3 linked regions of the Sus scrofa genome follow. The main gene of each other region encodes a partner of the protein of the gene in region 3 in a complex. Links are inferred from orthologs where the notes say so. Each region holds a gene or a part of one and is shown on either strand. Other genes may lie near its edges.

Region 1 (4,861 bases), on a different chromosome or scaffold from region 3:
ATTAAAATATAAACAGGTAGAATAAGCTCCAAACATTTTTGATTGAGGAACTGACAGGCTGTCAGTCACAAGACATTGCCTACCTTAGGTAGGGAGCTAATAAGTTATTTCCAAAAAAAAATTAGTTAAGCATAAAAGAGGCTTTAAAAAGAAAATCTACAAATTAAGAGAATAATCAATAATCTAAGCTTAATGCTAACCATGGGAATGTACCTTAAAAGGCATTTAAAAGAATATCTCAAAAGGGCCAGAGACCTCAGTTGATTATAGATGCAGAACCAAGGAGTAAAAATAGTGAAATAAATACTTCAAGGAAAGATGAGTTCCTGCTGTGGCTCAGCAGGTTAAGAACCTGACTAGTATCCACAAGGATGCAGCTTCAGTCCCTGGCCTTGCTCAGTGGGTTAAGGATCTGGCAATTGTGGTGAGCTGTGGTGTAGGTCCCAGTCACAGCTCAGATCCAGTGTTGCTGTGGTTGTGGCATACGAGGGCAGCTGCAGCTCTAATTTGACTCCTAGCCCAGCAACTTCCATATGCCTCAGGTGCAGCCTTTAAAAAAAAAAATTCAAGAAAAGATATGTGAAGGTATTAAGGCTTTGAGGAGGTAAACAGAACCCTGGTCGTTAAAAGTGAGAAACTAAAGGTACATGGCTTTTCCAAAACTATTCAATCAATCTATATGCAGGGAAGAGTAAACTGATCAGATTTAGGGGCAGCAGGAAGAGAGCTCTAGGTAAAGAGAGTTAAAATGAGGTATTTCAGATATTTTCTATTTCAATGACAAGATTTAATTAGTACACATGAGTTAATCCAAGATTCTTAAGAACAAACAGATACAGGCCAGTAGAGAATCTCACTGCGGCAAAATCATCACTTTAGAGAGATTGTTGAAGAAGAAAAAAGAACAAGAGGTAACCCTTTAAACGTTGGCAATTGTTTCTGATCTCTAGCATTATGATAAGGGGTAAGATTTATATCTAGAGATGGGGCTCAAAGTCAGAAACAAACTTCTGAAAATCCCCCAACTCCACTGGGGTCTTTCCAGTCCCTCCCACTGTTCATGGTTAGCAGTTTTCATAAAGTTCTAATTACCCAAAGGAATTTGAATTGTAATTTGTGTTTCCTATCTTAACAGGAAATAGAATTACTCCTACATGAACAAGGAAGAACCAGGCATCAATTTCATAAGGTTTTGAACTCAGATTTTAGCATGAGAAAGACAAGTGGAGGCGTTCCTGCTGTGGCAGAGTGAGTTACGAATCTGCATCAGCTCTGGTTGCTGCCCAGGTGCTGGTTAGATCCCTGGGTCTGGTGTAGTGGGTTAAAGCATCCTGCTTTGCTGCAGCTGCAGTGCAGGTCACAGCTGAGGCTTGGATTCAATCCCATATCCCTTCCATATGCCATGGCTGTGGCCATTAAAAAAAAGAAAAGAAGAAGAAGAAGAAGAAAGGAAGGAAAGAAGGGAAGGGGATAAAGAGGGAAGGAGATTAAGGAGGGAAGGAAGGAGGAAGGAAAGAAGGCAAGTGGAAAGGACTACCCCCTGATAGAGAACTCACCTTCCAGGAAAGCAAATTCGTCCACAGCTTCTATTGCATTATCTGAAACACAAGGTAAAGGGACACCTGATTAACTGTGGACACAGGCATCAAACCTCTTACAAGAGCACAACACACACAATGAAGGGCCTGAGGCTTTATGCAAATAAGCATTTATAAAATTTGTCCCTTGCTATCTTGAGATCTACATCTTCTCCACCACCAAATACTACGTATCAGCTGTCTCTCTACAGCCTAGGTAAATACTGTTCCCTGGGGGGAACCTCTTTCCTCTGAAAGTCATCAGAGAAGAGAGTCTGGCTATAGAGCAAGGAAAGTGAGATTGTGGTATACGAAAATTTACACACATTCTAGAGTAGAAAAAAGTAGAGTCAGAAATCAAACCTATCCTTTCTAGGTGGAAAAAAAAAAAAAAAAAAAACGACAAGCCTGGTACAATATAGCAGAAGGAATAAAGGGGTCTAGTTAGCTTTGGCAACATCCAGGCTCCTTTTGGTTCTCTGTCCCAACACCACTCCAGCCAACCAAAACAGACATTCGAGAGGCACGATCTTCTGGCACAGTGACAGTTCAACAGAAAACATCATAGGAAGAGACCTGTGGTGTCCCTCATCTTAAAGTGATGCCTTCTCAACTAGTGTAAGGAGAGTCTCGCCCAGCCCTCCCTTGTGTACCCACAGATGCAAGACACCAAAGTGACAGTCTACCCAAATCTCTCCTCTGAAGGGTTTTCCTCTTTCCCTGTTGAGCACAGCAGTAGGCATCCTTTGCAATGGTCTCCACAAACAGTTCCTATTAAGAAAAGCAGAAGGGGAAAAAAGTAAAAATTGTAATAAACAAACCAAAATTAAAAGAAAAGAAAAAAGAAAATAAGCAAAGTTGTATCCACGAGTTCTAGTGCAAATGCTTGTTCCTGTTTGAGTGGGGGCCAAGGGTGGAAGAGGGCACAGATGCACGGGGAGGTTCTCAGGGAAGCTGAAATTTCTCCTGGACTTCATAAAAGTCTATTCCCCTCCCCTCTCCTGCTGTAGTCCAGACACGTCTGTCCCTCCCTCACTCTGAAGATTCACCCCACTCACTTACTTGAAACAAGTTATAAAGTTAGACTAGAGACACAAATCAAAGTCGCGGAAGAGGTAGGTCCTACGAAACCAATACAAGTACTGCATGTGACCCTTTCTCTGTCTTCCCTCCCGATACTCACAACTCAGTATCCGGCCCCAGCACCCCTCTAACCTCTCGGGCCTCAGCACAACCTGCCCCAGATGGCCTTCTTACTGCCCACGCTCACATCTCAAATTTGGCCCCAAATACAGCTAAGCTCCGCCCTTCCGAAAGGCCCCCGAGGCCCCGCCCCGCCCCACTAGGTGACCCAGGCGCTCCCCGCCGCACCGCGGCTCGTGCCAGGATGAAGATGGCTTCCTGTCCCGCGAGCGTCACGTCGGGGTCCGCCTTCACCAAGGCCTTCACTCGCGCCAGAGGTAGCCTCGAGAGACGAGCCCCAGGCGTACTTGTCGGGGCTTGGGGCTGCGGGGCCGCCGCCTCCCCAGCTGAGCTGTCCTCTTCCCGGGCAGGCCCACTTCCAGCTGCCGCCGCCACCGCGGCCGCCATCCGGGCCCCGGGCGTGCTGCGCGCGGCCGCCGACTGTGCGCGCGCAGGCGGTGCCGGCCCCTTTCCCGCGCGCACTGGCAGCCACGCCCCCTGATGGCTCGTGACTCCGCCCCCCCCCCAACCGGCCAGCGTGGCGGAGTATCCCGTGAGAGAGGCGGAGGGCTGGCGTTTAATCTTTTCTATCCCTCACAGCGCTTCTGAGGTCTGGTGGTCCGATTTTGCAGTTTGCTTTGCATCTCACGCGATGTCCTACCTAGTTGAGCTCTCTTTTGAGAACTTGATTGTAAAAGTAAACAGCAGTAATAGAAATATATAGGAGAAACTTGGACAAATGTATATGCTCCTGGAGGAGACAGTAAAGTAGGAGAAATAAAAATGTAGGCGGGGAAAGAAGTAAATGATGGGCATCGCTTCAACAATTCTTCCCTCTTTCCCATGACGAAACCTCATCTGCATCACAGTCCAATTAGGAAAAGGAAACTACACAGAGTTTGAACAGGGAAAGTAATTTGAATAGAAAGTTTAACATAAAAGTTAAACTATAAGAGTTCCCGTCGTGGCACAGCAGAAACAAACCTGACTAGCACCCATGAGGACACACAGGTTCAATCCCTGGCCTTGCTCAGTGAGTTAAGGATCCAGCGTTGCCATGAGCTGTGGTGTGGGTCGCAGACACGGCTCAGATCTGGTGTTGCTGTGACTCTGGTGTAGGTCAGCGGCTATAGCTCTGATTCCACCCCCAGCCTGGGAACCTCCATATGCCACAGGTGCGGCCCCATAAAGACAAAAAAAAAAAAAAAAAGTTACTCTAACAGGATTGACTATGAGTGAGTAAGGAGAAGTCTAAAAAATAGAGGAATCACACATAGGCTCCCAGGGCTGGTGTGGAAAGCCCAAGGACGGAAGGAACATGAGAAAGCACCCATCCCACCAAGCTCTTATTGGAGAGGAGTCTTGACATTAGTCTCAAGTGAGAATCAAGGCAGCCAGCAGTCACCGTGCTCTGCTTACTTGCCTACTCACCAAGGTGATTATTGGACACCTTCTCCTTACTGTTGCCGGAAATATCAGCTGCCTCTGTACACAATGCCAAACAGAAAGGTGTAGAGTTGGAGGAAACAGAGAAAGTAGCTTTAATTGCCAGTCAAAGAGGGAACACAGCAGGCTAGTGACTCAAGGACTGTGACCCCCCTGTACTCCCTTGGAGGGTGTAGTGAGGAGTCTTACAGTGTTTGAGGAGCAGGGCGTGATCAGCTCCTGGGCATTTTCTTGATGAGTGGGTGGTGAGATAATTAAGAGTCAGTGTCATTAACCTTCTGGTTCCAACCAGACTGGGGTCTATATTCTTGTGGGCTGCATACAGTCGAAGTCTTCCACCTGGTAGGGGCTTCAGCACCTGCAAAACAGCTCCAAGGACATGGCTCAGAATATTATCTATAGTCCTTGCAGGACAATTCATTAAAAGGTCTTTGACTTTGTTGAATGGCTAAACTATTATTCTGTCTTGCTTGACTGTTGTCCTTTTTCTCTGTATTTTCTTTCTCTGATTAAATTGATTCTTTGACTAAAGTTTCTCTGTAGATAAAAAAGCAGGTGGAGGGCACGAGTGGGGGTCCACTCTGGGAAGGCGTCACGGGGTCCTGCTCAGTTACAGTATTCCCCAAACACATCACACCTTATCTTCAGTCTGAGAT
Region 2 (4,508 bases), on a different chromosome or scaffold from region 3:
ATGAGCTGTGGTGTAGGTTGAAGATGAGGCTGGATCCCGAGTTGCTGTGGCTGTGGTGTAGGCTGGCAGCTGCAGCTCTGATTTGACCCCTAGCCTGGGAACTTCCGCATGCTTCAGGTGTGGCCCTAAAATGACAAAAAAAAAAAAAAAAAGGAAAGAAAAATACACTATGCAGAAGTACTATTTCTTATTGTATCTGACTTAATAATTTCGCTTAAAATTTTTCTTCAGGAATAAATGTAAGAGAAAGTGCTTATTTTTATATTTCACAAATGTCTCAGAATAACCAAGGCATTAGAATAATAAAGGGTTTTAATAAAACTAGTTCCATAAAACACTTTACTGTAAAAAGTCTAGCTTTTAATTTAAAAAGTTATTTCTTTACAGTTTAAAAAAATGCAATATTTGAACAAATACAATGCCAAACAAATTTTCTTGAAATACAAAAATTCAGATGTAACATACTACCCATAGACCACGTATTTTAGCTAAAACCGGATCTGGCTGTTTACAAAAACTAATTTCAAAATATACACATGTGAATTTATACAACTGATATTTAGAAGTTCTTCAAAATCTATCTGTAAGCTACAAAGCTAAGCAAAGCTGCCTTGGCCTCAACGGCTTAGAGCTGCAGACTGGCTGTGACCCCAGCTCGAAGCCCCTTGTTTGGACCCCCACTCCGGTTGCAGCGTGGGCCTGGGAAAGAGACGCTCTGCTTTGGGCTATTTACAGCAGAGGCACCTCACGCCCCATCTCAGCCAGGAAGGAACGTGGTGTCCCTGGGGTGTCTCGAGAGTGAGCAGACGCTTGCTCAGAGCAAAGGTGTTCATCCCGGAGCCGTGCTCCCCGGCCGGTCACTAACGCATTTCTTTTTGGCTTAGGATTCCGCTTCATCATCACTCTCATCGTCGTCGTCGTCATTCTCCTCCTCTTCTCCCCTCTTCTCTTTAAGCATTTTCAGATATTTACTAGCTAAAATCTTCTTTGGTAATATGTCTTAAAAAACATAAAGCTAGCATCAGTAATGTAAATTTCAAAATGTCCCAGTTCCTGCTTTGACCTCTAAACAGGTTCCAAGACAAAACAAAGTTCAGACGACAATTCTGGGTAAACAGCAGGAAACTAGCCCTGCAAACCTGCCTCCCTTCCACTGAAGCAAACCGCGTGCTTCTGGGTGCTGGTGCCCACGGCTCAACCCAGCCCGCACAGGGTGGCTGCCCCAAGGATCCCCGTGAGCTCTTGTTAGCTGTGACCCACAGCTACTGCTGCACAACAACTCTGAGTTTCTGTTTCCTGGACCAATTAAGGAGGCGTCAGGGAAGGGCTGCCACGCCCCAGCCAACAAACACCCTGTAGGGAGAGTGCTGGCTTCTTGGTCCAGGTGAATCACATTACAAACATACTCAAACGGCCAAAACTAAGACTCATGCCAGGTCGTGGGAAACTCTGGCACCTAGAGAAAACAGCCAAGTGTCTATTTCAGCGCAAGAAGAAAAAAGAGCAGAGAAAAAAGCGTAAATTGCTAAGCATTTTTTTTAAGCAGAATGTTTGAAAGTCTAAATACCTGCAAGAAACTGAAAAGTTTCCGACTCTTCTGCAGTGTTTGATAAATCACTGTAAGTGAGAGCTTTCTTTTCTCTTCCACTGCCATGTCGGTAGGAATAGGTGGCTAGATACTGAACAAAGAGTTCCTAAAACAAAATGAAAAACGAAAGGTGTGCTTTGAAAACTTACAGACCTTCATTTTTAATTACACTCATTTCGATGACTGCAGATTATCTCGGTTTCCCAAATTACAGAAAATCACGCGAGAAAGGACTACGCGGTCAGAAAGGAAACAAAGGCTGAATTAAGTTGTCAGGGAAGCAGGCGTCTCCCTAAAGTTTACTTTAGATTTATAACTTATGAAAAATAATCAAAAGTGATTCAACAATGAGTCATATTTAATGACGAACCTCTGGAGTTAAAAAGGGCAAGAGACCATTCAAAAATTCGGTGTGGCTGAGGAACACACTTCCGTTTGAACACAGTGTTTCCAGGCTGTCCGCCTACAACCGTTACGGTCAACAACCTAAAGGTAAAAAAACGATCAGCTTCCCTTTCTGCCCAGACTGAGCCCTGGGCTGAGCCTCTGGGAATTTCTATTTTAAATCCACCTAGTTCCGTTAGTAAGGGATGGAAGAAGTGCTTGCGAAACTCCTCAATTCCTTAACACCTACAGAACGAAGCTGGACCCGAAAGCACAACTATCCCAAGACCACGTGACCTCCCACCGCCCTCACCCTGACCGTAGGGACACCGGACACTGGGCGCAACCAGCAGGGGCCGGAAGCCACTCTAGGGAACGTGAAAGCGAGGGAAACCGTGCAGCTGAAACCTGGCCCTGGGCAAGAACGCCCACCACGCGCCAAATCAAAAGACCGGGGAGGGGCTAGCACCTCCGGCTGTAAAACCACGGCCCTGGAAAGGCTAATTCTGACCTGGGGACGTGCGGCCCCGAAGACTGGGAGGAAGGCGCGGGCCCGTTCGCTCAACCGTCCGAGGGGTGGAGCCCAAAGCCACGAAAGCGGAAGCGGCCGGAAGCGACAAGAGGGGAGGGATTGGGGTTGGGGGCCGACAACTCGGGAGGAGGAGACGCCGAAGGAGGGGGGGTGGGCGGGGCGCTGGGCGCGCGGGGGAGGCCGGGAACGGAGTGGGCGGGGCGAGGGCGCGCGGGGTAAGACGGGATTGACGCCCGGGGGCGGGGCGAAGGGCGCGCGGGAGCTGGGGAGCGCGCGGCGGAAGGCAGCGAGGCCGCGCCCAGGAGAGCGCGCGGGCGCGCGCAGGGGAGCGGGCGGCGCGCGGGCCGAGGGGTACTGGGCAGCGCGGCGGGACTCGGCCGGGCTCGGAGGGCGGGGCGGGACGCAACGGTCCCGGGCGGCCCCCACTGTCGCCCTCCGCTTCTCACTCCTCCCCGCGCGGTCCGCCTCACCGTGGCCTTGGCCGTGAGCACCAGCGCCTCCTGGTTGATGCTGGACACCTCGGGGGAGCTCTTCATGATGACCCGGATGCGGGACAGGGGCAGCGACACCAGCCGAGGCTCCCCGCACTTGTCCTTGCCCGCGACCCCGTCCGCCATCTCTGCGCCCCGCCCCCGCGGCGGCAGCCCCGACCCGCCGCGAGGTGGCCGGCCCGCTCGGTTGGTGCGGGAGCGGCGTCCCGCTGCCCCGTGGGAGTTGTAGTGTCGGGAGGCGCGGCCCCGGGCGCGGACTACAAGCCCCGTGATGCCGCGCGCGGACGAGGCGGAAGGAAGGGCGGCTGGGCCGGGGGCGGGGGCCGGGGAGGCGTCTCCCTGAAGGTCGAGGCAGATACCGTGTAGGCAGGAGAGGACTGGGAACCGCGGGGGGAAGGGAGGGGGCTGGGCAGTGAGGAGCGCGGACGGCCCTGTTGATGAGAAGGCGCTTTGCTGGGAAGAGGAGCAGCAGCAACGGCGCGGAGGGAGGAGCCTTTCCGGAAAGCTCGGGAGGCGCGCTCTGCGCCCGGGGTGTGCGGGATGAAGGCGGAGAGGCGGCCTGGGGCCGGGTCCTATTGGATTGTAGAAGAAGGAAAATGGGGGTTCCCGTCGTGGCGCAGCGGAAGCAAATCCGACTAGGAACCGGGAGGTTGAGGGTTTAATCCCTGGCCTCACTCGGTTAAGGACCCGGCGTTGCCGTGAGCTGTGGTGTAGGTCGCAGACGCGGCTCGGATCCTGCATTGCTGTGGCTGTGGTGTAGGCTGGCGGCTACGGTTCCGATTGGACCCCTAGCTTGGGAACCTCCATACGCCCCGCGGGTGTGGCCCTAAAAAACAAAATAATAATAAGGAAAATGGGAAGTGCTGAAAGAGATCAGAGGGATGAGGGGATATGTCTCTTAAGTTGGGGGGGGGCTTTTGTTTGTCTTTTTAGGACCTCACCTGGGGCATATGGAAGTTCCCAGGCTAGGGGTCAAATCGGAGCTGTAGCTGCCGGCCTGCACCACAGCAACATGGGATCCTTAACTCACTGAGCCAGGCCAGGGCTGGAACCCGCGTCCTTTTGGGTGCTAGTCAGATTCGTTTCAGCTGAGCCGCGTCGGGACCTCCCGTCTTAAATTTTATTAAAAATCCCCCTGGCTATTGATGGAGAATAGACCGGAGGGGAGTGGTGAGGATGGGGAGGTTGAAAGGGTGGAAGCAAAGAAATTGCAGAGTAGAAGGTGATGGCAGGTGATGAAATGGGATGCAGGTGTGGCTGGGGTGAAGTGAGCTAGGGAACGGATGATAGGAAGTAGCCATGGGCCAGATGAGATAGGGCTTTGTAGATCACAGAATTCCTTCCAAAAGGGTTGGGGGGAGTAAGGGGGTCCCCCTTCAGTTTTACAAGGAATCCTCAAGTTGCTGTGTGTGAATAGATCGTCCAGGGGCAGGAGCGGAAGCAGGCAGAGAGCACAGTTAGGAAGCGGTTCCGGGGATGGAGAGAGACAGTGAGTCAGACCCGAGTGGAAGCG
Region 3 (4,821 bases):
TCTAGGGCTGCATGCATGGCACATGGGGGTTCCCAGGCTAGGGGTCTAAATCAGAGCTGTAGCTGCTGGCCTGTGCCAGAGCCACAGTAACAAGGGATCCGAGCCGTGTCTTCAACCTACACCATAACTCACGGCAATGCTGGATCCTTAACCCACTGATCGACACCAGGGATTGAACCTGCAACCTCATGGTTAACCACTGAACCACAACGGGAACTCCAGGACCTCATATTTATAAGGGTCTGTCCTCGTCTACACTCTAAAAACTGCAGCGCATGATCAGTGGGTCCTCCCCAAAAGCACACTTATAAACAAGTAGGATGAAATAGGAGACGTCACTTTTTACAAGAATGTTTTTTATTTATACAAGGCATTATAATTTTCTCAATATCCTTCACTCATTTCTTGACAAACTTTTCACTGGATTCGTTTAACAAATGAACAGCATCAAACTATATTTCACTACCTGTCAACCTCCAAGCACTCAACTTAGAGACAAAAAGTGCTTGAAGCGCCAAATGGAAAGAAAATAAGGTTAACAGAGATACTTTAGAAGGGATGGCTTGGGGGAGGAATTGGATTCCTGAGCACCATCGGATTTCCCTTAACGTTCAGAGAGGTCTACAAAATCATTTTTAAAAGACATGAGATTAGAACTAGGGAATCAGAGGAACCCATAGTTTGAGATATTAAGCAGGTCATCAAAGTTCCTGGCAGAAGTGAAAAAAGGAGGGACAGAAAGTGGGAATGGGGAGCAGAGGAGAGGCAGAACAGAGACAGGAGAGAAGCACAGAGCAAGAACGTTGTACCTAGAAGAAAGAAAGTTTGGAATTCATCAGGAATTAGAAGAATGAAAAGCCATACCACAAATCCGGGAGCGGGACTACAAGAGAAAGCCTGGAGTTTTATACCTTCCAGGAGGTGACCACATACCCTAAAGCTGTACAATGGCAGGCAGTGAGGTGCATTCAAGACTACACCATCTGTTGTAAGACACATTGGCAATCTTGCTTGACTAATTCTACTCTACACTGCTGATGTAAATGCATTTGGTGCCCAGAAGGTAGCCACCCAAGCGGGTTACATGCCTACTGGCAATAGAGAAGGGCTCTAAGCCAAGTGGGTCTGTAAAAACCAAAATTCAGTTAATGTTACTGTCAAGTGAAGAGACAAAAGAACAGATTTCACTGTTCTACACCCTTTAGTGGTTTCCTAAAGCTAAGTCATTCTGATCACTTGTAAGAAGCTAGTATTGCCAAATACTGTACAAATAGGCTGTCTATAAGCAAAGCCCCAGGTTTTCCTGAGTCTTGACTGCTTCTGTGATTTGGAACGCAGTAGGTGGCATGGAAGCTTTGTTACTTTTTTGAGCCGTGGGTGAATGGGTGGGACCTGGGGATCAACAACTGCCTAACTATGTACGTAAGTAAACAAAAATGCTCCCAGTGACCAATTGGCTGTTCATAATCCCTCCTGCCAAAAAGTCATAACCTTCAGGCTCATGAAGCAAAACAAGATTCTGCTACTCAGATGCTCTGAATCTGGGACACGCTGGTTTTGATGATAATTTTAATCAGTTTTTACTTCCATCTTCTCAGGCTCTTCTGCCCAAGACTACTCTGTCCAGCAGGAAAAAGCTGCACACAAACGTTTCAGAGCTGTACCTTCCAAGGCGCCAGTCTCCCCATCCTCTTCAGTTGTCCACGTCCTCCTCTTCATTCTGTTCTTCTTCCTCCAGCCTTTCCTCATCTTCGTCGTTGTCCTCATCCCTGCTCTTGTCTTGCTCTTCTGAATCTGTTTTTTTGTCTTTGTCCTTCTTCTTTTGCTCTGAAGCTTCCTTCTTACCTTTCTGCTCCCTTCTATAAGCTGTAAGGATGAAGGAGGGAGTTGGGAGACAAGGCTGAACCAAACAGACTGCAGCCACTAATACCACTGCATAACTGGAAACACTGAGGCACAGAAGGAAAAATAACCTGCCCAGCATCACAAAACTGATATGAGGTAGTGCCATTTGAATCTCACCCAATACTTGCTTACTGGACCTAAAGGGACTCAAGCTAATGAAGACTTAGGGCCAAGTGAGCAGGTCATACAGGATGAACATCTACTTGGTTGAGTAAACGAAGAGGTCGTTACCTTCCAGAGCTTCTTTTAAGGGAGTAACGAACCGCTGAAACTCCATCTCCTCCATGGCTGAGAGAACATCGCTGGCATTCAGCGTCTTGCGTTTCCCTTTCATCGCGAAGTTGTTGGCGCTGAACAAGAAGATTAAGGGCTGTCAGAATCCTTCTTGGCCCGTATGCAGTGAGTGGGAAAAGGACGACCCAGAGGTGGAATGGAAATGCCCAAGTCTAAGATACATGGATTTTGGTGACACAGTAAGTCCCTCCCTTCCCTGTACAAAAGGGTAAGGCAAAGTTACTCTGTTTTATTTTGTTCCACAGCTTGCAATACCTGGATGAAGACTCTGAACCTCCCTCCACTGGGGAAGATCATAATTATTGGGGTTTGCGGGTTCTAGGCCGCGAACTCCGAACCAGGGGTGGGGGGGGTGTCTGCGTCTCCCTTAAGCCTCAGCCCCCAGCTAAGCTCTGGTTAGCTCTGCCCGCCTCACCAGGATGTGGCGTACAACACGAAGACGCTGGCGGCGCGGGAGATGGCGCTCCGGGCCTCCTTGGAGATGTTGACACCTTCCGGGAGCTGTGACAAGAGAGGGGGTGAGCAAAGCTACTGCCCCAGGACCTCTTTACCCTTGCCTGCTCGTCCGCCCCTGGCCCATCCGCCAGCCGGAGATGCTCACCGCCTCCTTGATGATCCTGGTGATGACGGCATTGGGCAGGTTTAGGTCCTCGGGCCTCTCCGCCATTGCCACGGCCGGAGCCGGCCTCCTCTTCAGGCCGCTACAGCGTCCGGACTTCCCGCGTCGCCACCGTCTGACCCAACGAGGCTTCCGTTCCGCCCCGTTTTGCCCACACCGTGTCCCACAGTGCCCCGCGCGCCATATCCTCCCTCCTCCCCCAGCCCCGCCTCCGACTGCAGTCGTCTGTTCATCTGAACTTTCCACGCCGCTAGTTTTAGCCCTAGGGGTTTCTATCAGGCCACAACGGCACCTGGCGCCCCTTCCCAAGCTCGCTTCCCTGCTTCACGCCACCACCTCGTCTGGAACTTGCTTAGCAAATTAAGTATGGCCTTCTGGGGCTTCCGTCCCTTTCCCATAGTGCTCTGCGCCGCTGCCTGGCAACGGTGCTGTCGGAGGCTGGCTTGGGAGACGAAGGCGTGGACTGAGCCGGCGGGGCGGGTCCCTTCGGAAGAGAGGCGGGACCTGGCGCTTGGCCCCGCTGCTGTCTTCACCGCGGGTTGAGGAGCAGCGTCTTCCTTGTAGGCTTCGGCTTCCTAGCCGCTTGGCCTCTGCTTTGGCTCCGCGGAAGCGCGGCCCTCCTTGGCCGGATTCTCCCACTTCCCTCTTCTGGAAGCAGGGAATCTTTATTGAACTCTCCAGGCCCTGATATCCCCTCTTAAATCTTTTCACCGCTCTCAACTTTGTAATAATGGTATTAAGGATAAGTGTTAACCTAAAATTTTTAATGCAGACTACTTTGTCAGTACAGTGTAGGGCTGGCAACAAAAAGATGGGCATGATTAGACCTTGGGGTTCACTTCGAGCTGGTCAGGTAACAAAAGGTCCATAAGCAGCCGGTTTTAAGAATAACATTCGCATTCAAAAACAAACCCTGTTAAACTTGTATTTATGTTTTAGTTCATTGACTTGATCATCGTTCATCTTTCCTAGTCAAAAGCATCAGCATGGTTTTACAATGGTCCCCCCCCCCCCCCCCGAGGGAGCGGTGGGGCGACCACTGCATATGGAAGTTCTCAGGCCAGGGATGGAACCTGCACCACAGCAGTGACTCAGGTGGGAGGTACCCTTAACACTCTGCGCCACAAGAGAAATACTGCATTGGCTTTTTAAGTTGTATCATTTTCATATTACGTAGTAGAAACTCTCCTCACTCCCACTGAACAGTTGTTTTCCTTGAAACCTGCTGCCTCAGGTCATGCTTAGTTTTCCTGTTTTTGATAGAAACATGAGTACAGAGAACTATTTCCCTATTATGAGAAAAACAACAGCAAATGCAGTGATAAATGGCAACTGAAACTCTTCTCTTAGAGAATATGGGGTTTGGTGGGGGAGGGCTCCACTTGACTAGAATACACATGGTTTAAAGATGTCAGGAGGTACACAGCTCCAGCCAGTGGCTGTCTAGTTGGAATTGGACCCCCCTTTGAGAGAACCCAGAAATCTGAACATTATGGGCTATTTCCATCTTTAAATAATGGCTCAAAGTGCAGGCCATACAAAACAAGTTATATGCCAGGTGCAATCCCAGGCCAGTAGTTTGCTATCTTTGGCTTATATTATAAACTCTTTAGAACTGGGACTTTTTTTGGTCATTATTGTTCTCTATGCCCATAACAGGTCCCTTCCCATATTTGGTGGTCAATAAATGTGTTGAGTAAAAGAAAGAGGAAATAGACACTTAAAAGTTTATTGCAGATAGGTGGTAGTGATTGTCTAAACATTTCTTTTTTTTTTTTTTTTGTCTTTTGTCTTTTTGTTGTTGTTGTTGTTGCTATTTCTTGGGCCGCTCCCGCGGCATATGGAGGTTCCCAGGCTAGGGGTTGAATCGGAGCTGTAGCCACCGGCCTACGCCAGAGCCACAGCAACGCAGGATCCGAGCCGAGTCTGCAACCTACACCACAGCTCACGGCAACGCCGGATCGTTAACCCACTGAGCAAGGGCAGGGACCGAACCCGCAACC

Evidence for each region. The genes of interacting proteins can lie anywhere in the genome.
Region 1: POLE3 (region 3) and POLE4 share a complex: the UniProt entries of both Homo sapiens proteins name them as parts of the DNA polymerase epsilon complex. The link is inferred for Sus scrofa from reciprocal best matches to the Homo sapiens genes POLE3 and POLE4.
Region 2: POLE3 (region 3) and CHRAC1 share a complex: the UniProt entries of both Homo sapiens proteins name them as parts of the CHRAC ISWI chromatin remodeling complex. The link is inferred for Sus scrofa from reciprocal best matches to the Homo sapiens genes POLE3 and CHRAC1.

The regions. Positions count from the first base shown.
Region 1 is NC_010445.4:68,114,086-68,118,946, forward strand, and holds the start of POLE4 (DNA polymerase epsilon subunit 4), read right to left. Parts: upstream 3,224-4,861; 5' UTR 3,168-3,223; coding exon 2,949-3,167; intron 2,349-2,948; coding exon 2,264-2,348; intron 1,599-2,263; coding exon 1,557-1,598; intron 1-1,556. UniProt on the Homo sapiens protein: Accessory component of the DNA polymerase epsilon complex. Participates in DNA repair and in chromosomal DNA replication.
Region 2 is NC_010446.5:3,025,586-3,030,093, forward strand, and holds the start of CHRAC1 (chromatin accessibility complex protein 1), read right to left. Parts: upstream 3,224-4,508; 5' UTR 3,122-3,223; coding exon 2,975-3,121; intron 2,637-2,974; exon of another isoform or gene 2,484-2,636; intron 1,695-2,483; coding exon 1,568-1,694; intron 1,000-1,567; coding exon 881-999; 3' UTR 1-880. UniProt on the Homo sapiens protein: Forms a complex with DNA polymerase epsilon subunit POLE3 and binds naked DNA, which is then incorporated into chromatin, aided by the nucleosome remodeling activity of ISWI/SNF2H and ACF1.
Region 3 is NC_010443.5:254,033,039-254,037,859, forward strand, and holds POLE3 (DNA polymerase epsilon subunit 3), read right to left. Parts: upstream 3,187-4,821; 5' UTR 2,867-3,186; coding exon 2,801-2,866; intron 2,701-2,800; coding exon 2,615-2,700; intron 2,256-2,614; coding exon 2,137-2,255; intron 1,867-2,136; coding exon 1,694-1,866; 3' UTR 340-1,693; downstream 1-339. UniProt on the Homo sapiens protein: Accessory component of the DNA polymerase epsilon complex. Participates in DNA repair and in chromosomal DNA replication.